4 linked regions of the Oryzias latipes genome follow. The protein of the gene in region 3 purifies or fractionates together with the protein of the main gene of each other region. This does not show direct contact. Links are inferred from orthologs where the notes say so. Each region holds a gene or a part of one and is shown on either strand. Other genes may lie near its edges. The genes, in order: ras-related C3 botulinum toxin substrate 1, map3k7, E3 ubiquitin-protein ligase XIAP and siva1.

Region 1 (5,805 bases), on a different chromosome or scaffold from region 3:
AGATAAACCTTTCTAAGAGGAAAGCAAAGTGCATCCAGATTTTGGCTGTGACCTGAGACACGTCGGATAAATGAGCGTACAAGCAAGAGACAATCATCTGATTTCATTCTCAATTTCTTGTTTCGTCGCTGTCAGTGAGAGAGAACAGGGCAGTCTTCACAGTTTAAACTGGATCAGTAACTACGAGGCTTATTTCCAATCCACATCCATGAGTCAGTTCTCACCGGGTTCTCCGTTTCCGCACATCATGACCACCTTTGACCGGCAAAGGCAGCACATCTCTGTGAGGCGAACTGATGAGGAGAGAAGAAGACACGTCACTTTACTGCATTGAGACACCAGCTTGATGATAATGATGGTATTTTATTTCGGACGCATACTTTAAAAGGAAAAGTAGGGGAAGATTAAAAAAAGAAATATTTGATGCAACCAATATACACTCATATAACTACACATAAACAAATATATTAATAGAAACATACACGCAGGGGAAAATCTGACCCACATTTGGCATGATTAAACCCCAACACATCCAAGTGGATCCCTGCTGGATTCAAATTTATAGTTTGGTTGTGTTTTGTATATATACATCTCTATCAATAATAACATTTCTATAGTTAGTCCTAAACTTCTATCTGTTTGGACATTGTTCCAAATTTAAACTTCTGTTCCAAGTTTGATTGTAAGAAATCACTGTCAGCCCATCTTGAGCATGGGAGGTCTTACCGTTCACTTCTTAAAGTCCAAAGGTTTGCATTAAAGACTCAATGGATTTCTATATGGACCTGTAAAAAGACAAAAACGTCACATTTTCCATTTTGCACATTCAAAGGACAAGGAAAAAAGCTGATATACTACATTTCTGTGGTATAAAAGTATCAATTATTGCTAATATTTCATATTTAAGATTGAAAAAATCTATTTTGTTGTTTCCCCTGACTGATTACACATTACAGACTACTGTTTTTTATTTTAGATCAGATACAAACACTAAATATGGGTGAATATGAACTTGTTTCACTATTGATCAAATGTCAGTAAATTATTTTTCCGATTAACAGATGATTTTCATGAACCCAGTTTTATGGGACAGCACGTAGTAGAGATTATATATCAATTTAACCTGGGATTAACTGACTATAAGAACAAAGGTTCCCTATCGAGGCCCCCCAACAGCTGTTGTTGGCATGGTGACAAGCTCACCGTGACCGTCAGTCTGAAAATAGTGTGTAAACATTTACCTGTAATCTGACGTTAAACACCATTGAGGCTACCAAGTAAAAGTAGGGGAATCGTATTCTCAGCCGCCATGCGAGATCAAAAAATATCAACAAAGTCCTCGTCAAGCCTTTGGAGAATAGTCCGTAAGTCCGACCAGCGGAGCCCGAAAACCGGAGCACCAGATACGAAAGACTCGCCATAAAAGCCCAACCCTGAGCGCTGTGTTCTTGGCTTACAAAGGCAACAGGCAAGGGGACGCTACAATGGCTGCAAGTGTTGGATGAAGCTCCATTCTTCTATCTTTCACCCTCAACGAGCTCCGTCTTTTGCTGCCGTTGTACTGGCATCTACTCCACCCTGTTAGTTTTCTACCGAGGACAGACATCGCTGCGACACACGGAAGTGCAGTAAAACCAGGATTAAATAAAACCCCGAGTAAAGACTGAAAGGACTTCCAGATCTGGGTGGTGGCTAAGGAAAAAAAAAACACGTCCTAGACACAACTACTATGGTTCTCATAAAACTAAACAAACAGAAACATAGAAGAGGTTTTTTGAGTTACTAAATATGTATATATGTTGTTTTTGCACCATTACAAAACCAGGTAAATTGGTTTGTTTTCCAGAAGTTCACTACACAAAAAATCTTGAACTGAAGCAAAGTACTACAGACTTTTTGGAAATACAATGACCAACTAATCATTGATTGTGTTACATTTTTGAAGCTAAATATCTTTGTCGTATTAGAATAGGCACACATTGACTTTTTTTTTCTTTTACTACTTTATTTTTTAATACAGTGCATGTTTGCTGGTATGGTATAATTGAATTTATCGTGGTGTAGGGGTGGGAGAGCAAGCTATCCTTCCATCTCCAAAAAAACTTTTTCAGCCTGAAAGGCATAATTCAGGGAAATTAAACAACACACCAAAAATTCCATTGTAATCGTAAATGAACCGTAGACGCGTCAAAACTGACGTCAGTTCCACCCTAGGTGTCACACCGTAAATATTCCGTCTTCGACGATTTCTTTTATTTTGTTTTCATTAAACCAAAATGTAATATTTTAGTTTTCAAATGTTATTTATATATAACTTTAAGCTTTATATTTAAGACCAGAGTAGCTGACCCTTTTTTTTACTACTAGTTTGAGGCTATCTTTTCTTTGGTTAAGGTGTCTGTGGGCGTGCGCCGGATGCCCTATCTTGTAGAGCTGGCTTCATTTTTTTTTCTCTTTAGCTATAGGGGTGGTGGCCGCTGTTTTGCTCCATAACTCATAGAGCAGCTCACGAAAGCATGGGAATGTTGCCAGGGAATTTCTGAGTTTAGTTGACCTAAAGTCCGAATTGAGTCGCCGCAACTTTATTTTCTAACAAGCCGTTCTCCGTTTAGAAAGTTTTGAGTTAGCGCGGTCGACTGTTAGCAAAGACTGTTGGGTAGTTTCACTTGAGAGGAGTTGCGGACAAAGGACAAGCTATCCGAGCTAACGTTAACTGGCTCTGGGCTAACTTAGCATTCCTGTAGCTGCGGCGCAATGCAGGCCATAAAGTGTGTCGTTGTTGGAGACGGGTAAGTTGAACCTAACTAAACTCACTGTGATATTTAACATTTAATCGACAGTTTTGGTATCAAACCCTGAAACCGCCAGTGATGTCGAAAAGTTGTCATTCGACATAAATGTTGCGTCTTATTTTTGGAGTTGTAAAGTTAGCCAAGTTATCGGTTAAATATTGGACTTTCAAGTTCTTTTCTTTTTTTTTCGAAATGTACAACATTTTGTATTGCATTTGTTTTTCCCCTGATATTACCGTTCTGGATCCAATGTTCCAGATTTTTTTATTTATTTACGCCAAAATCAGTGAATAGAGTTAGATTGATCTTAGATTTGTTTTGAAGTTATTTTTGAACAAAATGGGCAAAAATTATATGTACTTTTTCGAAGAGTTGAAATTTGTTTCTTCTTCTGTTGTATTGACACGGGCGTGTTTTTGTGTTACACAATAGTTAAATTAGTAGGTTTAGTTTGCAATATTTTAAAGACAGGATTGTCAATGAGCTAATATTGAAAGTCTGACTGATGTGTAATATGCTAGAGGTAAACACACTTGTAACGTCTTGTCGAGGGTGCGGCTGGTCCCACCGCAGCGGAGTCGTCCCTCGACCTCTCCGACTTTTGTTTTGTTTTCCGTTCCGACTTGAAGAAACTCTAAGGCACCAGTTCTCTTTAAAGTTTCAAAAGTTTAAAATATCTGCTTACTCATCAACTAGCCTGGAAGAGAAAAAAAAACCTTATTTCCTGAAATCAGTGCACTCATTCTATCAGGAGTGCTTCAATAAAACTGACATTACCTACGAGATGATAATAAATGATTAACTGGCAATTATTGATTTTTGATATTGGATTATTTTGATCCTGCTTTTATCCTACGGATGATAATGTGACTCTCAGACTTCCTCCTTTCAGTTTGTTAAAAACCAAACTTTGCGTAGTGTCCACATTTAACTTGAAACTATATTTTTAATGGTTGTAATTATTTCAAGTAACTTTGATGTTATTAAATAAAATGCTTGGACTGTTTTTAGCTTTGTAAATGTAAAATAATCGAACAACTTAAGCCTGACTTTAATGACAGCTTGTATATGTTTTATTTTCCTGAATTCTGAACATAACATTTCTCTTATTCAGTGCTGTGGGTAAGACATGTCTACTCATCAGCTACACCACCAATGCCTTTCCAGGAGAGTACATCCCCACAGTGTGAGTGTTTATTTATTCATAATGGCTAAGCTGTCTGTCATTCTTCTTCTGGACAGTTGTTGCTTAACTGTGTCTTTGTTTCATTTCTTCAACTGGTCTTATGGGGGAATATTAGTTTCCTTGTACATAAGAAGTCACTTTCTTTTTTAACAGGCAGCTGTTTGGGTTCAGAGAAGCATTTGTTATGTAAAATTACCAGAAGTGCAACCAGCTAGTTTATTTTCTTAGTTGTGGGATCTGTGGCTTTTTGGGAATTTGTCACTCAAAACACTTTGGTTCATTCTGATTATTTATAAATGTACATTCTGCTTTTATTCTGATTCAAGAACAAGCTGAAAACATGTACTGCTGATGAACAAGGCTTTGATTTTTGACCCCCAAAAAACCTGTTTGATTTATCTAATGATCATAGAAATTCAGAAATATGTAGCAAGGCTTGAATGACATAACTGAGTTTTTATGAATGCTTGATTCTCACAGGTTTGATAACTACTCTGCCAATGTTATGGTGGATGGGAAGCCGGTGAACCTGGGCCTTTGGGATACAGCTGGACAAGAAGACTACGACAGACTCCGCCCACTTTCTTACCCACAGACGGTACAATGACAAAAATAGTCAGACAAGGTGTTATTTAGTTGATAACTTTTATAAATAATTAATTGGGAGCATTTGTGGTATTCAAATGTAGAAGAGGGTTTTAAAGAAAGTTAAACAGACCACCTTAGCGATAGGTTATTTATTTTTATTTATTTTTTGCTCAACAGGAAATGAATTTCATGGACTCTGAACCTTTTTTGTCTTTGTCTTACAGGATGTGTTCCTCATCTGCTTCTCTCTTGTGAGTCCGGCCTCATTTGAAAACGTCCGTGCCAAGGTTAGTGGTGCCTGAGCAAAAAACACTAATAATACAGATGTGAACACGTTGACTTTTTTAATGTTGGTAATTAAAATACAGACCTGTGTTTTTTCATATACAGTTTATTTTTATTTTTTTGTAAAAAAAAAAAAAGTGTATTTAAAGAACAATTTCAAGAGATGTGTACTATTGATTGGCTTTTTATGTAGAAAACTGGCCCAAAACACATACATTTTATTCATATCTAAGGCTACATTTTTACTATTCCCCAATCTTCTTACTTTTTGTGTTTCTTACACTTTTTTGTTAAATATTTAAAACATCCAGCATTAACAGTAAAGTTGGATCCCAATTAAAGACACCAGCATAGCCGCGAGCATCATGGCTCTTATGTTTTGGAGAGATAGAAACGCACAGGAAACTGCACTTTCCCGAGTGGCGTAGTTTTTGTTTATCTTTCACAAAACAGGAGTGCTGCTTTTTAAGCTTATTAAGGGGGGGTAAAAAACTTTTTATCCTTAAATTGTTGCAGTTATGCAATCGGAAATATCTTTTTGTTAAAATGATTTTGTGTTTTTGTGTAGTGGTACCCAGAGGTGAGACACCACTGTCCCAACACTCCCATTATCCTGGTGGGCACCAAGTTGGATCTAAGAGATGACAAGGAAACTACGGAGAAGCTGAAGGAGAAGAAACTCTCCCCCATCACTTATCCCCAAGGTCTAGCTATGGCCAAAGAGATCGGTAGGAGTGTTTTCTCATCCTGCATGTTTTGGATGAATTTGTTGAAATAAAAGGGATCAGAAAAGAACCACTTTCTTTAGGGGACTCAAAGGCTCCTCTTGTCTTTTTTTTCTTCCTCAGGTTCTGTCAAGTACCTGGAATGCTCAGCCCTGACTCAGCGTGGCCTTAAAACGGTCTTCGATGAGGCTATTCGGGCCGTCCTGTGCCCCCCACCTGCAAAGAAGAA
Region 2 (4,959 bases), on a different chromosome or scaffold from region 3:
TTCTTTTCACATTCCACCATCCATTTTAGAAGAACATAAACACTCACCTGAGCACAGGTGTTAGCTCACCTTTGCACTAATAGTTTGCATGATTGAATGAATGAAAGATTTCACACTAGTTGGTTTAAAGGCATAGGTATGCGTTCGTGAACACTATCTGTTTTGTGTGCATGTTGACATGTGGACATTTTTGCGGCTAGCAGGTGTGTTGATAATATTTGAGTGTGTGTGAACAGGCCCCGCCCTTTTTGTACTACATTTGAACCGTACCGTAACGATAAACAACCAGTAAACCTGTCTGCTCTATGCTGCTTCATGGTCTTACCCCCCTTCCCCTCCTATTATCACCCTCCTACCCCCCCCTCTCTCTAACGTCCCTCTCTCTTCTTCCCCTCTTTCCTTTTCCGTCCGGTCCAACACCAAAGATTTTCAAACATGATTGAAATTAATAAAGTTTGGCCTCAATTACAAAAGGGGTTTATTCAGACATACCTTTGGTTTGTCTGAAGATGAATAACCCCTCTTGTTAAAATAAAATATGTCCAACACAAGAGGCCCTCAGCTCTCATCTGTTTGCCTAGCTGTTGGACAGGACAAGTTAAAAAAAAAAAATAAATAAATAAAACAATAAAAAAAAAACATTTTGAACAATGATGCAAAAACTGCAGCTGGAGTTTTATGACTTGCTGCCGTTTCAAAGATTTGGGCACTAAAAGGTTAAACCGAAGAAAATCAGAGCAAAGGATTTCAGATTTAGAAGACCCGACCAAAAGTCTCCACTGTTGTAACCTGATAGTTCTGTCATAGTGTCAGACTCAGTAGCACTGCCACCTATTGTCCGATCCCTACTCAACCGCTGGAGGCCAATCACAGCCTTTCCTGCATCATCTGCTGGTTTTGGGGATGCACCTCTGTTCTCTTGACACGCTGTGAGGCCCCTCCCACCTCATTTGCATAGCATTTTAAAGAAAAGTTAGCAGAATTGAACAGCCATCTATATTCTGAAAAGGAATTCCAACAACTGACTAAGGAGATTTGTGGGACTGTCAGGAATGTTCAACATTTCTTATTTTGCCTTGAAAATTTTCTGGTTTATCTCTATTAGCCACAGCTTTCCTTCTATTTGCTGTTGCTCTTTTGGTTGTTGTTGCTTGTAGGTTTTGTCATTTTTCTATACATCCTTTGTGTTTAGCACCTTGTGGACTAAGGCCTGTTGATGAGAAGAGCTCTACAAACACAGGGATTGAAGAATTAAGTGATGAAACATCCTTTTCCACCGACCAACAGCTGTTAAAGGTTTAGGACTCCCACATGGTGGCGCTAGTCTTCCTACATAGTTGTCATCTTTGCACGTGTGCAGAACATTTCACTTCTCTATTGCTGAGGACATGTGGAGGATCAAGACAAAAGGCCAAACTTCAGCGTTCATGAAGCAGAAACAGCTTTTGAATCAGCAAAAATGTACAGAACTGGGCTTTACAGTGCAGCTGAGCAGAGCTTGAATGCACCTCTATGCTGCTTTTATTCACACTAAACACACCAGGATCACATCTTGTAATGCAAAGAACCACACGTCTGATCCCAGCATCCAGGTCACGTCCAGAAGATGGGGGCGGGGCCAACAGCTGGGGGATGCAGCGTCTTTGGCTCAGACCGAACCCTGTCTGAACCTGAAACATTCACGCGGTGTGGGAGCAGCAGGACATTCACCCCACAGGTGAGCCTCGGCTGCAGTCAGTCCGCACCTCCATCGCCTACGATGCGCTCGCAGGCGGAGGAGCGCCAACGCCAGGTCACCAACCGGGCCGTACAGTCCAGACTCCTCAAGTTTTCTTTTAAAACCAAAAAGTTTAAATAGCAATAAAAGTCGTCTAAACGTAGTAACTGTGCAAAAACAACAGAGTTGGATCTAAAGCTGGTGAGAAACATGATGATCATCTAAAAGAATGTCGTCACCTCCGTCGGGTATGAAGAAGGAAAGTCTCCGTAGCTCCTCTGTCAGACATGATCCGACCTGAACTTCAGCCGACCGCTAAGGCAACATGTGAACTAAAAGGAGAGCTGAGCAGATCCTCCAGCAGATTCAGGGATAAAACATCTACACACAAAAATCTACAGGGCGGTTAAACCAGGAGGGGCTGTGAGGATGGTGGGGAACTGGTTTTCATGTGAACTTCACGTCCCAGAGAGGCTGTGAGGAAGTGCAAACTCCTTTGAGAAGTCTTCCTGGAGGGGCTCTGGATGGAGCCAGGCCGGGGGGGGGGGGTAGTGTTGAGAGTGCAGGGGGGAGGGGAGTGGGCGTGTCTCCGTTTCATCAGGAAGTGCCCTGCCTCTTCTGCTGCTGCACCCGGATCAGCTCCAGCTGCTTCTTGCACTTCTGGTAGTAGGTGGACAGACTCTTGTTCTCCTCCAGCAGCTTCTTGTGCTCCTGCACCAGACGGGACGTGTTCTGCTGGTCCTTCTCGTCTTGGTCCAGTTCAGCGATGAGCTCCTTCCTGCTCAAGACACAAACAAACCGCCATGAGACTTCCTGAGACTTTGGAAAGTCCCCTTTTCTTCTGAATAAAAACTCTGTAGGGGATCCGCCGTCGGCTGGATGAAGCTCGTCTGCTGGACTTTAAATGTGTAGTTGTAGATTTAGATAAGTAAATTCTTCTCTTTGAGTTCTGGTAAATCGCCTGTCCGTCCTGGGGGAGGATCCCTCCTTCATGTGGACACCCCTGAGGTTTCTTCGTTTTTCCGGAATCCGGTTTTTTGGGAGTTTTTCCTTACCGCGAAGGGGGGTCTAAGGGCAGGGATGCCAGTATAGTTTAGTCAGTTTGTTAGTTCATTTTAGTATTTTGCTATTGAACTCTTTGTATTCGTGATCCTTTTGAGTTCATGTTTCACTTAAGCCCATCGAGACGACTGTTGTTGTGATTTTGGGCTATACAAATAAAATTGAATTGAATTGAATTGAATCGGAGGACTTCATCCACCAAATCAGTGGCCCCCAAATCCAGACCGTGAGGGCCGGTGTCCTGCTGGTTTTCCAGAAACCCTGCCTTATTTGCTGCTGACTACCTTGATACCTTGTTTAGCCAATATGGAGCTTCAATGGCAGGTTGGTTAGAAAACATGTAGGAGAGGTCTGGATTTGGGGACCCCTGCACTAAATGCTTAAAGCTCTGGACACACCAGGCATGTGAAAATGTGGGTTTTCACATTGGACAAGCAGGGAGGGGCTTCTTCTTTATCGTTTTCTCTTTTTTTTACTAACACTTGTCCACCACCTACAGTTGGAAGAGGCTTGATGTGGAATGTAGAAGCGGAGCAAATGTCCTGACTCTTCCTCCAGGCTTTTTCTTTCACAGCTCTATTCCAATATATGAAAGATTTGGCTTAGTTTCACTCCAGCAAATATTAATTTATCCTCCATGATCAATTTTTAAACTGAAAATTCAAGAAACTGAAAAGTCCCCATACATAGGTTACTACCACGTCTGACAAATTCAACCTAGTTTAGTTTTCAGCGCTTGTTCAATGGCCACGTGTTTTGTATGATGAGCCCAAAACCGGTCGTAGAAACATTTGAGCTGCGTGCAAATGCACAAGTTTTGAACGCAGAACGCAGAAACGCACATTTCCATAGATTTTTCATGAACATAGTTTAAGACCTATGGTTGAGATAATAATCAAAGTAACTTGTTACAAATGTTCTTGTTTCATATCTCCTTCTAAATATTTGTAGGATTCAGGGCTCCAGACTGCGAGCAATTGGTCGCATTTTGCGACCAAAATTTGAGAGTGTGCGACTAAATTTTACATCCAGTCGCACATGTGCGAGCAGTAAATTTGCCTCCCCCACCCTTCGTATTTTTTTATACATTAAACGTGGAAGGGGCACGTCAATGATCTATGAAATAATCAATGAGACGCGAGCGCACACGCACGCAGGCAGGCACACACACTCGCGCACATACTCATGAAACGCAAGCACGAACACTCTCGCGTGATGCCTGTGTGTTAGGCGGCCACTGCGTCTGAGAAGAATAGGAAAAGTCACTGTGAGTGGCTAAAATGCGTGTAGGGGGAGGGGCCTAGAGCTGACCAACCAATCACAGTGGGGTATATGACTCTTGGGGGCGTGGCAATGACAGGGTTTTGCAAGCAGGAAACCTGACAGCCCCCTCCCCGGACCACATTAAGGAGTTCTTTACTTTCCTTTCTAGAACGTATCTATTCGCTCGTAATTTTCTAAATACATGCAGTCCGTGCTGAACTTTTCTCTGGGTCACACAGATCCGGAGGAAGGTTTAGGTTTTGGTTACGGTTACGGCGGCGCATCATACGGGTTACGGCAGCACACCGCTCCCGTCCCGCGGGAGTCGGGTCAGCTGAGGAGAATAAATGCCCCCGACGTACATGCGTGACAGCTAACGGGGCTTGAACTTTAAACACGCTCGAGCAAAAACAACATTAGTTTTAGACACACTGAAAATACGTGGGGAAAATGCAACGATAGACGTGTTTGAGATGAACCAGCACCTCGCCTGGATCGTTGGGGAGACCAGGCGGGGGGGGGCTGTGAGATGAAAGCGAATCTGCAGCAAGACTGAAGGAGAACAGGAAATTGGAGCTGTCCTTAACATTCAATTTAGATTTAATATTCTTCTCCCCCTTAGTATGATCTGTGTTATTATATATTTTATGATTATTTGAATGTTTTGTAATGTATGTAGCCTTTTTTAATGAATTGGTATTTTAAATTATTTTAATTAATCCCTCCACTACAAAAACCATCAGGACACATGTCCCATAATGCATTGTTTTGTAGTCTGTAGGGCAGCTTTCAGTCAGTTCAGTTTTCAGCTGTGTCTGGGTAGGTTTGCCCCTTGCCCCACCCCTTTCTCGCGATATTTTTGCGATGATTGACAGTTAATGTTGGAGCAAAAACAAATATATGTCACACACCAGGTG
Region 3 (5,571 bases):
TAAAGTTTACTTTCAAATCTTATTGTCATCAGAGAGTTGTGATTCATGATTCCTCCTTAGATTTCTCAAAATGCTATTTAAAGGGCTTGAGGATTTTAACCATCATCTAGAATTCTGATTTACAGTACAAACCCAAATACTGTAAAAAAAAAAAAAAGAAGTGAAAGTTTTTTTTTTTTTTGCATTTACATGGGGTGTTGGGAGATGGCATACTACATGCCAGCCGTTTCATTCAGTAATTTTAGTTTCACTGTTTGGTTTCGCCTACACGTTCCGCATTTTGTTTTTACGAGAAATGTATGGTATCCCACTCAGACAGGTTAGGTGTGTGAAAGGGAAATATTTGAATTCATAACTGACATGTGGTTGATGTGTTCATCTCTGTAGGTTGCCTCATTGTGATAGAAAAATGGAGCAAACCACTCTAGAACTGGGCATTTTGGATTTCATGACAAGAATGGAGGGCACTCAATCACATCTTTTTTCCTTTAGAACCCCCTTTTTTTTTAAATAATAAAAGAAAATAAAAATTTTCCAATTGTGTGACCGTTTTTGTTTTTGTCAGATCAAAATAAAATATGATGAAAAGAAAGGTTGTCCATGGTTGTCTTGATTTTTGTGTTGGATAAAGAAATGGGGAAAGAGGCCAGGAGGTGAAGCCGGCTGAGGCCTATTGAGCGTTAGAGTTACTATCCAGGATGAAACATCCAAGATCCACGAATAGAAGCACAAGGCTCCAACCGACAGTGTGTCCTGTGAATGCCCCAAGCAATGGAAAGCAGAGGATGCGATACATTTTATCTTGGGAGGACCATGGGATGTTCTACTGATATCGCAACCAAATGACTGGAGCCTACAGGTACATCTGTGCAGAATTTGGAGTGGAAACCCCAAGGTCACAAATGGGAAAGCACCTCTAAAAGTGGCAGAGAATGAGAGAGCTAAGATCCTGTGGGACTCCCAGATCCAAACTGACAAGATGGTCATGGAGAACCAACCAGACACTGTAGAGGTGGACAAAGAAAAGAGGAAAGTCTGGAAGAACTGGAGAAAGCTTTAAGGTTAATTTGACGGTGGTGCCTGTGGTTATCCGATCACTCAGGACAGTAACCCCTAAGGTGGAGGAGTGGCTGTAATGTTAGAAATGACCAGAAGAGTGGCTAAAGCAGATCCCTGGAGAAACATCTCAGTCCAGAAAGGTTCAGTCCTAGGAAAGATACTGCACAGAACCCTCAAGCTCCCAGGCCTCTAGTAGAGGACCCAAGCTTGGGTGAGAAACTTGCGGGGGTGTGAAAAGAGTGTTTAATTTATACCATGTAATTCCCCATTAACCCACATCAAATAAGGGGAAGTTGGATGCTTGCCTTGTCACCTAAACAGCAAGTCTCACTCAGCATGGGGGTTTCTTACCAAACTGCACAGAAACTTCGTACTTTCCCTTTTTCACTGCTTCTTGAAGTGAATTCATCAAATTGTGTTTGGTGGCTTCAACTTTTTTTCTAGTGGTTTACCTGTACTTTTCTGTATTTTTTTTAACCAAAGAAATGTCACTGAAGATTTGTTTGAACAAATGGATGTTTATTAAAACCCTATTTATGACTTCTGCCTAATACTATTCCCCTATTCCACATTGGTTATGTTTTGGAAGCTGTTTAAAATGTTTTATTTTTTATTTCATGTGACCAAATGTAAATATATCTAAAGTTGTATAGTTTGGATGCTGCGTGTCTGACAGGGCAGCCTCACAGCCGGCTGAACTTAAAATGACTCAGAACACACTGAAATTTGAACCACTGTCCCACCAACTTTTCAGAAGTTAAAGTGTGATCTTAAAGAAAACTGCATCCTTCATAATAAAAGCATAGACTAAAACCCACTTCAAAATATGTGGCATTTTGTATTCTTGCTCCAAACGTTGAAAAACAGAAAAAAAGCTAAATTTGAATAAATTAATCATATAAATGTCGCATTTGCTTTGAGACATAAGGGACACATTTATAAATGTTTTTTACTCATTTAGTTTCTTTTGTCGACAGTGTATTTTACTGATTTTAAACAGCATATTTGTAAGGGAAACCCCCCCTGGGAAGAAAAAAAAAACCTAGAGATTTGCTTAAAAGTCGCTTTTCGGGACTGCGTGGTTTTTTTTCTCTCTCTTTTTTTTTTCAAATCTACGTTTCAACACATACTGCATAAGTTACAAAAACATATCTTTCTTTAGCAATAACATCTTCGGGCTTGAGCTGTTAAGCATGTTGAAATTTTTCTGTTTAAGTGACAATGTTTTATATTTTTTTCCATAACGAAACTGAAACAGAACCTCTGGAATCTTCTCATTGAACCCCCACTTTCTTTGCGTAATCGACGATGCGCATGCGCATTGTCAAAGACTACGCTGTTCTTACTTCCTGACTTTGGGAGGTCACGCCAAAGGAATTCTTCTACGCCGATTTCCTTCACAGGGCGATCTCATCAAGGACCTTTTCAAACCACGAACCGAAGACCTCCCTACACGAGCAAAGAAATGCAAGTATTTTATGTTTTTAGAGCCGCTGGTAAAGTAATCGCGCGCTTAGCGAACAAGGCTAACTAGCTAGCTAGTCAAATGTTACATGAAATGTAAACAAACTATAGTTACAGCAAAGGTACGCACTTTTAAATAATAATTTGACTCCTTATGTAAGATTCCTTTATCCACTGTAAAACACCAGCAGTTGTCTTTTTTCTTTTATATTAATTTTTAATCCGTGATGTGTAGCCCTTTAAATGATGTGGGTGGAATCTTTGTGAACAGAGCAAAGTATGCAGTTGATAGTTCGTAGAAACACAACAATGACGGCATACGCATTTGTCGCTCACTGGGCGGTTAGAGATGTTAATTTCAGTTTTGCTGTCGCAAAGACAGCAAAACTGTCTTTGCGACAGCATATTTACTGTAGTAAATATGGCCGTTAGCTTTTGATTTGATCACTTGATCACTGAGGCAGAAAAACGTGACAGTGCAAAGATCACATGCAGTCCTCCACCACCAGCAGATAAAATCCCATGTCACAGCTAAATGTGCACCAAATAGTTCCACGTACAGCGTGTTTGTCAGAAGGAGTAATGCAGCATATGACTGTCCTAATGTGTGGCAACAATATCACACAAGAGTCTCAACCTCCTGTAGAAAACAGTGATTGTTTTTGACTGTGCTGCTAGTACATTTCTGGATAATCTAACAAACATATGTGGCAGATCGCTGAAACCTATTAACAGTGTTCCAACATTGTGTTTTGATGAATCAATGATCTGATTAGCTCTTTAAGAATGGTGAACAGTACATCTGCTACACCCTTTGGCATATAAGTTAACTACAGGAGCCGCCCTCGTGCCCATCCCTTGTGCCTTCACTAAAACATTCATTTTTTCAACTGATATCCATCTGGTTTCCTGAGTTACCGGCTTAAAAGAACTTTAAAGAGCCTAGCTATGTGGACAGATTATGACTATGAATGGAATGGACATTCCATACCATTCTATCTACACACACTCTCAAAAAATGTCCAACTGAAAGATATTTGACTTCTACTTTCTGTTTTTGACAAATAATTTCCTCTGGGAGGTGACTAGGCTTGAATAAAAGTCATCACACCTTTAGTATGTGTCATGAATAAGAATTGCATGAAACACAGGCGTGCTGATGCAATGTTTATTAGCACGATGTGATGTCAAAGGTGGACATAAAGATAGGGAAGCTGGTTAACTTCCAGAATACTTTATATTTTTGACAAATCTGAATGACTGAGGAGGACTGAAGCTAGCAGGAGAACATGGCAACAGAGAGCCCTCGGCAACATGGAGAGAAGCGGCGTTGCTCCATGCCAACAGTCCAGCCAACAACTCAGAGGCGAATTTCTAATGATCTACTGCTGCTCTGCAGAAAAATCTGGGCACTTTTTTGGACAAAAATGGCATAGTGGTAATTAGAAGACCCCTGGGAACACTTTAAAAATGGCTCAAAAGATGATCGGAGTAGGTCTTTAAGTAAAAAAAAAGAGATTCCCCCATGATCTATTATTCAAGGTTCTACACTTCTAACTCAAACCTTTTTCATGTTTCTTTTCTTTTAGATTTTGTGTTTACCGCCACAGCTACTTGTTTCAATGATGTGTGACCCCAGCCAAGATGGGAATTGGGAATCGGACTCCACAATTGATTACTCTAAGATAAACAATCGTCTGGAATCTTTCTACAACTCCAGCTGGAGCAAGAAGGTGTCACCGCTGCAACTGGCTGAAGCTGGCTTCCTCTTCACTGGAGTCTCTGACCGCGTACGCTGCTTCAGTTGCCAGAAAACGGTAGAAAACTGGTCCCAGGAAGATCAACCAGTGGACAGACACATACAGGTAATTGTTTATGTTGAAAAAAAAAATAGTTTAGAAATGTTGGGCAATTCTTTTTCAACTTTTTAAATAATAAAGTTCAACATTTTCCTTCCATGCAGGTTTCCCCATCGTGCACGTTTCTCCGCTGCACACACTTCAACCGTTTTAAGTCAAATCCCCATATGCCCCTCAGCAATGGGGGCCTTCATGATGGAACTGAAGGATATATAGATTACCAGTTGAGAACAAGAGCCATTGTTGATGAGACTCCATATCCACGGAACCGGAATATGAAAAGCGAAGAAGCCCGCCTGGAAACTTTCTCTTCGTGGCCGCGTTCTGCTCCAGTCAGACCTCGAGATTTGGCTCAGGCAGGTTTGTTCTACTTAGGAAAGGAGGATAAAGTGGAGTGTTTCAGTTGTGGAGGCAAGCTAAGTGGCTGGAAACCTGGGGACACCCCCTGGAACGAGCATGAAAAACATTTTTCCCACTGCTTCTACATCCTTGGTCATGACGTGGGAAATGTGCCTCTGGAAAGAGATGGAGGAGAAAATGAAGAGACTGGCAGCAGAAACCAACATCGCACACCTGTCAATTTGGAAAATCTTGACGAGCGACTCGGCACTTTTGCACGCGTCCAGCACCCGATTGACCACGAGCTGCTTGCTAAAGCTGGCTTCTACAGCAAAGGTAAAGCATGTTTGTTCAAACATCCCCTTTACAAATGAGATGTACCGGTAATATTTTAATTTTTCTAAATCTAAATGTTTGTTCATAATATTTTTTTATTATTATTCTAGGAGAAGGAGACGAAGTGATCTGTTTCAGATGTGGTGGTGGTTTGAAAGATTGGGACCCTGAGGACAATCCTTGGGAAGAACATGCCAAATATTATCCTGGGTAAAAACCTCCAGCTTTGCTTTTTCCCATAAAAGAAGGATTATGTATTCGTATAACCCTTGTGCTATCCTATGGGGTCAAGATGGCCATTGACGTGTTCTCCCTACATGACAAAGGTGGACAAAGGTGGAAAGATTTCATGTAATCCATAGACACCAGTGAAGATCACAAATCATTGAAGAAAAAAGGTTCAGCTCACTGTCTAGTGGGTCTAGATGACCCAACTCCCAACGTTAACGTGCCTAGGATAGCACAAGGGATGTAAGTGTATTTATGTATGTATCTTACATCCTTTTTTTTAAAT
Region 4 (4,915 bases), on a different chromosome or scaffold from region 3:
AGCATTCTTGGCAAGAAAAGTACAACATGACCTTTAAGTTGCATGGATAAATATGCACGGAAAAGCCTGACAACTCTGTTTTCTTCAAAGCTCTGTAAGGAGAAGAGACGGGCGCTTGGTCGAAGACTAAATGAGAAGTTGCAGGAACTGTGATTTCTTCCATCTGATCAGCATCAGTCGCGGCGTTTCTTGCGGCCATGACATCAACTGTTCAGACTTCAACAATAAATGTTTTTCTTTCAAGTATTCCGTATTCATGAGTCTTATCGGGTAATGTGCAGACAACCTGACGCCACCCTTTGCCAGCAGCTGTCTGCTCACTCAAGCAGAAATCAAGCGGTGCCCTGGGCCACCAACTGCAAGAGCTCCCAAAAGACGGGGGCCACAACTGGGCCGCTGAGCAGCCGATGTGACTAAAAAGCTCACATGCACTCACTCATCCCAGCCCGTATCCATAACAGTGTCACAAGACGAGACTTTTCTAAAGTCCCGTTGTGGACCTTTGCCATGAAGAACTATTACTCAGAGCGTTCAGCATCTGACCCTGAAACGGATCGTCGTCTGCGATGAGCAGCAGCCAACTGAAAGAGATGACTCCACCCAAAGGTCACGTCCAGCAGGGATGACTGCAGCCTGCTTTACCGCTCAGCACTTGTTTTATTTGAAATACATTTGATAGTAGATGTACAAGGTCAGTGTGGACAAGCTGCAATTTGATTATCAGTGTCAGTCAGAATACAAGGAGTCAGATGTTGTTCTTTGGTACATTCAAGGAGTGGATTAGGAATACTTTCTAAGTTTGGGTGGTTTATTCCTCCACCGAGTATGGAGGGCGCGACCTCCTGCCGCTGTGCAGTCATCCCAAACCTTCTAGCTCCATGTTGAGCTCCTTTTTCTATATTTGTGTGTCTATTAAAAGGTAAAATAGACAATACAAAACCACAATCACAAAAACGTTTCTAAAAAGGGTTCAAGTTTATTCAATCAAACCTTCAAATGACAATATTTACATAAACATGAATTAAGAAAAAAAGGGTATAAAATATCAATTAATGCAATTACAGTGTTTAAATATACATTTGTGTTCCAGCCTTTGGTCTTCCTTTACGTAGAGCAGCCGCAGCAGAGTACTTCATCGTACCGCCCGCTGTAACTGCAACACATGAAAGATTCCTCACGTTATGATTCAAACAGCCTCTTCATTAATTCAATGTGATTTATGATTAGGAATGTATAAAAACAACAAAAAACTTTAACTACAGTTGACTGAAAGCGAAGAGTCCCACTTTCAGCTTCTAAAGTATGCTTCCTCCTGTGTGAAGCTTCATCCTCTTTAGTTTGGATTCAAGAAATGTTGTAGTCAAAAGAAAATTATGGAAAAAAACAGAAATAAAACAATACCCTTAAGGGAAGACAGGAAGATTGATCAAGATACCTAAATCTTAAAATAGGATGGGAGGACCAGTTGTTTAAAGAAATTCTATTTATTCTTAATAAAAATGGAAAACTGTGTTCATTTGAGTAATTATGAGTTAATTATTAGTTATTGCTGATTTTGGTTTTTACTGCATGTTTCATGTCGTGGCAGCTGTGAGTGAGCACCAACGGTTTGACAGATCGAAGGATTTGACGTCAACCAATATGACTAAACTCCATAAGTAAATAGAATCTCCAACATGCATTATTTAGGATAAAACCAAAAGAAAAAACACTGTCCTGGTTCATTTTTAATGGAAATGCATTAAAGTTAAAGCAACCTTCTTTAGGTTTCATTTCAAATCAATCAGGGGTTTACTTATATTGACAGAAACATATTTGTAAGTCTTTGAACCAAACCTGAAGGATCGTTTACATTCACGAGCTTTTCCAACCAACATCCAATGATCTTAAAGCTACGTTCACACCACACTCTGCAACTCAGGTTCAAGCGGCCAGTTCCAATGAAGTTCATGACCCTGGCGTTCACGCATCGCTGTGCAAGTTTCTACGGCCGTTTTTAGCCTCCATGTAAAAAACATGTGTAGCAAATGAACGAGCGTTGAAAGTTAAACCAGGTCAAACGTTGAGCAATCAGGGCCTTAGATGTAAAAGTGAAGTATCGTTGGCGTCCCTTTTCATTCACAGAAGAGGCCGACTGTATGAAAAATGACCATGGAAGAGAAATGAATATTTGTGTTTTAAGGAAGCAGGAATTCTATGACACCAGGTCTTTCGTGTATCGGAACAGAGCTGTGAAGGAAAAAGCCTGGAGCAAGATTCACCAGATTTGCACCATTGACATTTCACACCAAGCCTCTTTCAATGAAGGGGGCAGACATGCACTAGAAAACATTGTGAACATGGGCCAAGCGCAGAAAATATATCTGTTGTAATAAGATTCCAATATATGGCACTGATCATAATAATGAGGATAAAATGAATATCTGATTATGATCGGGATTCAACATTCAATTCCGATCAAGTCTGAAACGACATGATTGGGCCCAATTTTTGATCGCATGATAAGAATAATCTAGTGGCTCTTTAAGGCTTTGAAAAACACTCTGGCTGTCATTTAATCAGCAGGAGTCAACAGGTGAATATCAATATGACAGTAATTTAGGAGTGGCAGACTTGCAGAAACAAATTGCTTTTTACTTAATAGATTTTTGATTAAAATGAACATTTGTTACAACAATGAGGCACAATAACTGTAAAGAGGCTTTCAATCAAAGTTTAACGGGCTTTTGTATAGAGACGGGTGAACAGAGTTTAGTTTCAAGTTTTCAACTTACTCTAAGATGGTGCAGACAGAGCAGCATAAGCTGCAGCAGTTGGAGCACTGTCGGACACAGGATGAACACGCCAGTCGATCACACTGAGAACACGGCGTCCTGGGTCCCTGGCTCTTCTGACACACACAGCAACCTGTGGGACCCACTGGGTTACCTGGACAAGTCACAAACATGAGCCTTTAGCAAAGCAGTGAAGTTAGTCTGATAAGGTGGGCAAACTTGTATGAACTCTGCCACCTGCTGGTGGAAAGTATTAAGTGAACCAAATCCTTTGAACCCTCGTGCTATCTTGGATGACCCCACCCTTACATTGACGTGTTCCTCCTACCATGACAAAGGTGGATAAAGGTGAAGAGGATTTCATGTAATCCATGGACACCAGAGAAGATCACAAATCATTGAAGAAAAAAGGTTCAGTGCACTGTCTAGTGGGTCTAGATGACCCAACTCCCAATGTTAAAGTGCCTAGAACAGCACAAGGGTTAATGTGATCCAAGGGGCCTAAAACCCAAGAAGTTTAAGCTTTTGTCAAACAATTAAAACATCTGCACAGGGAAAAAGAATTAAAACATGTTCTTGTTTTGGTGGACATTAATTTTTTTTTTAAACCCAAGAATTTAGCTAATCAAACTAAAAATGTCTAAATCCCAGTTTAAGATGAAAAAATGATTAATTTAATTAATCAACGATGAAAAAAAAAACATGTAAAAAATCTTAAAGTAACAACAAAGAACCGGAGCAGCTTCGATCCTGTATGTTAAAACTACGAACCCGTTACCTACTCCAGGTGGTAATGTGTAACTCTAGCCACAAGGAGGCAGTAGCGTGCAAAACTGGAACCATCAAACGATTAAAAAGAAGGCCTCTAGATTCTACAACACTATTAGAAACTGTTAGGTCACCGGCTTTAAGCGTACAAATAAGGGCAAAAAGGCAGAGACTCAAGCTGACAGAAAATAAACTAACATTGAAAAGAACGACTGCTATAGAAAAAACTTTGTCATATGTCAACAAAAAGTTTAATAGCTTTTAAGGGTCACTTTTCTATGAAGCTAAGGTGATAGAGCAACAAAAAGTAAATGACTTAACTACCAGCTGCAGGTTATTGTGATGGCAGGATATTAAACATAAGCAGAAATAAAAATGGGAGGCAATATGATACTGCTTCAAAGATCCATCTAATTACAAAACATGTTTTTCTCATGATGGGGAAAATATTTAAGGAAAAGTGAGCTTAAAATTGTGTTTGAGTACTTTTCTCAATTGGGGTTGGACAAGAAATCGATTTTTATTGATAAAGTCGAATTTGTTATTTAAGAAGATTAGTTCTTGGGAAATTCTGGATTTTATTTTCCCAGCACTCTGCTTTCTAGGGCTTCCGTTGCTCGGAGCAAGGTCAGCATGCCCGCTTCTCGCTGCACGCAGATGCACAACTAAAGAGAGGCTTGTTCCCAAAACAGTCACAGTTTCTTCATTTATATGGAACTGTCTCGGTTTTGTGGCTTAAGACTTTGAGCACAAAACGCATGCTGCACAATGCATTTGAAGGCTGTTGCTATTAAAAGTGGGAGTACAACAAATTCATTTCAACACCTGAAACAGACCGTTTAGCGCGAGAAGTGTTTCTCTCTACAAGATGCTAAAACTAGCAGCAGCTCACAAAACAAAAGCTTTGTTAAACAAACATTTTTACAGCTTAGTTGCACCTTATATGCAGGCTAGTTACCAAGGGAGATGTGAAAATAAGGTTTTTGTTGAATACATCCGTCTTTTGGAATTTGTGTTGAGGTTTTGTTCTTGCTTGACTTGCATGACCGGCGACTATTGATGACGTCATCAGGGAATTGTAACATCCAAATATCTCTCCGCTTGAAGGGATAAATGTAGGGATAGGGAGAAGCTGCAAAGGTAGAGACGCAATTGGGATTTGGCCTGTGGCTGGATAGCACCACCATTGCTTGCCATTCTTAAAGGGACAGCGTGTAAACAGATGGATGACAGGAAGTAGGGACGAGCTTACTCCGCACCCACAGTCACGCAAACAACTCAAAGGTGAATTTCTAACGAAATCCTGCTGGGTCTAAAGAAACTGTCCAAGAAAAAGACAGTTTTATGATTTTGGCTAAAAATGGCATAATCAT

Evidence for each region.
Region 1: the proteins of E3 ubiquitin-protein ligase XIAP (region 3) and ras-related C3 botulinum toxin substrate 1 purify together in Homo sapiens (affinity purification with western blotting; 3 studies listed by BioGRID and IntAct, with this or other methods). This does not show direct contact. The link is inferred for Oryzias latipes from reciprocal best matches to the Homo sapiens genes XIAP and RAC1.
Region 2: the proteins of E3 ubiquitin-protein ligase XIAP (region 3) and map3k7 purify together in Homo sapiens (affinity purification with western blotting; 3 studies listed by BioGRID). This does not show direct contact. The link is inferred for Oryzias latipes from reciprocal best matches to the Homo sapiens genes XIAP and MAP3K7.
Region 4: the proteins of E3 ubiquitin-protein ligase XIAP (region 3) and siva1 purify together in Homo sapiens (affinity purification with western blotting; 3 studies listed by BioGRID). This does not show direct contact. The link is inferred for Oryzias latipes from reciprocal best matches to the Homo sapiens genes XIAP and SIVA1.

What each region holds. Positions count from the first base shown.
Region 1 is NC_019866.2:11,732,039-11,737,843, reverse strand, and holds the start of ras-related C3 botulinum toxin substrate 1, read left to right. Parts: upstream 1-2,206; 5' UTR 2,207-2,754; coding exon 2,755-2,789; intron 2,790-3,906; coding exon 3,907-3,978; intron 3,979-4,458; coding exon 4,459-4,576; intron 4,577-4,790; coding exon 4,791-4,853; intron 4,854-5,419; coding exon 5,420-5,579; intron 5,580-5,699; coding exon 5,700-5,805. UniProt on the Homo sapiens protein: Plasma membrane-associated small GTPase which cycles between active GTP-bound and inactive GDP-bound states.
Region 2 is NC_019882.2:20,574,031-20,578,989, forward strand, and holds the end of map3k7 (mitogen-activated protein kinase kinase kinase 7), read right to left. Parts: intron 2,496-4,959; coding exon 2,315-2,495; 3' UTR 1,425-2,314; downstream 1-1,424. UniProt on the Homo sapiens protein: Serine/threonine kinase which acts as an essential component of the MAP kinase signal transduction pathway. Plays an important role in the cascades of cellular responses evoked by changes in the environment.
Region 3 is NC_019868.2:22,021,727-22,027,297, forward strand, and holds the start of E3 ubiquitin-protein ligase XIAP, read left to right. Parts: upstream 1-2,375; 5' UTR 2,376-2,526; intron 2,527-4,112; 5' UTR 4,113-4,145; coding exon 4,146-4,388; intron 4,389-4,486; coding exon 4,487-5,057; intron 5,058-5,167; coding exon 5,168-5,267; intron 5,268-5,571. Other genes in the region: E3 ubiquitin-protein ligase XIAP, read left to right, coding at 388-402.
Region 4 is NC_019880.2:14,646,975-14,651,889, reverse strand, and holds the end of siva1 (apoptosis regulatory protein Siva), read right to left. Parts: intron 2,929-4,915; coding exon 2,775-2,928; intron 1,154-2,774; coding exon 1,105-1,153; 3' UTR 953-1,104; downstream 1-952. UniProt on the Homo sapiens protein: Induces CD27-mediated apoptosis. Inhibits BCL2L1 isoform Bcl-x(L) anti-apoptotic activity. Inhibits activation of NF-kappa-B and promotes T-cell receptor-mediated apoptosis.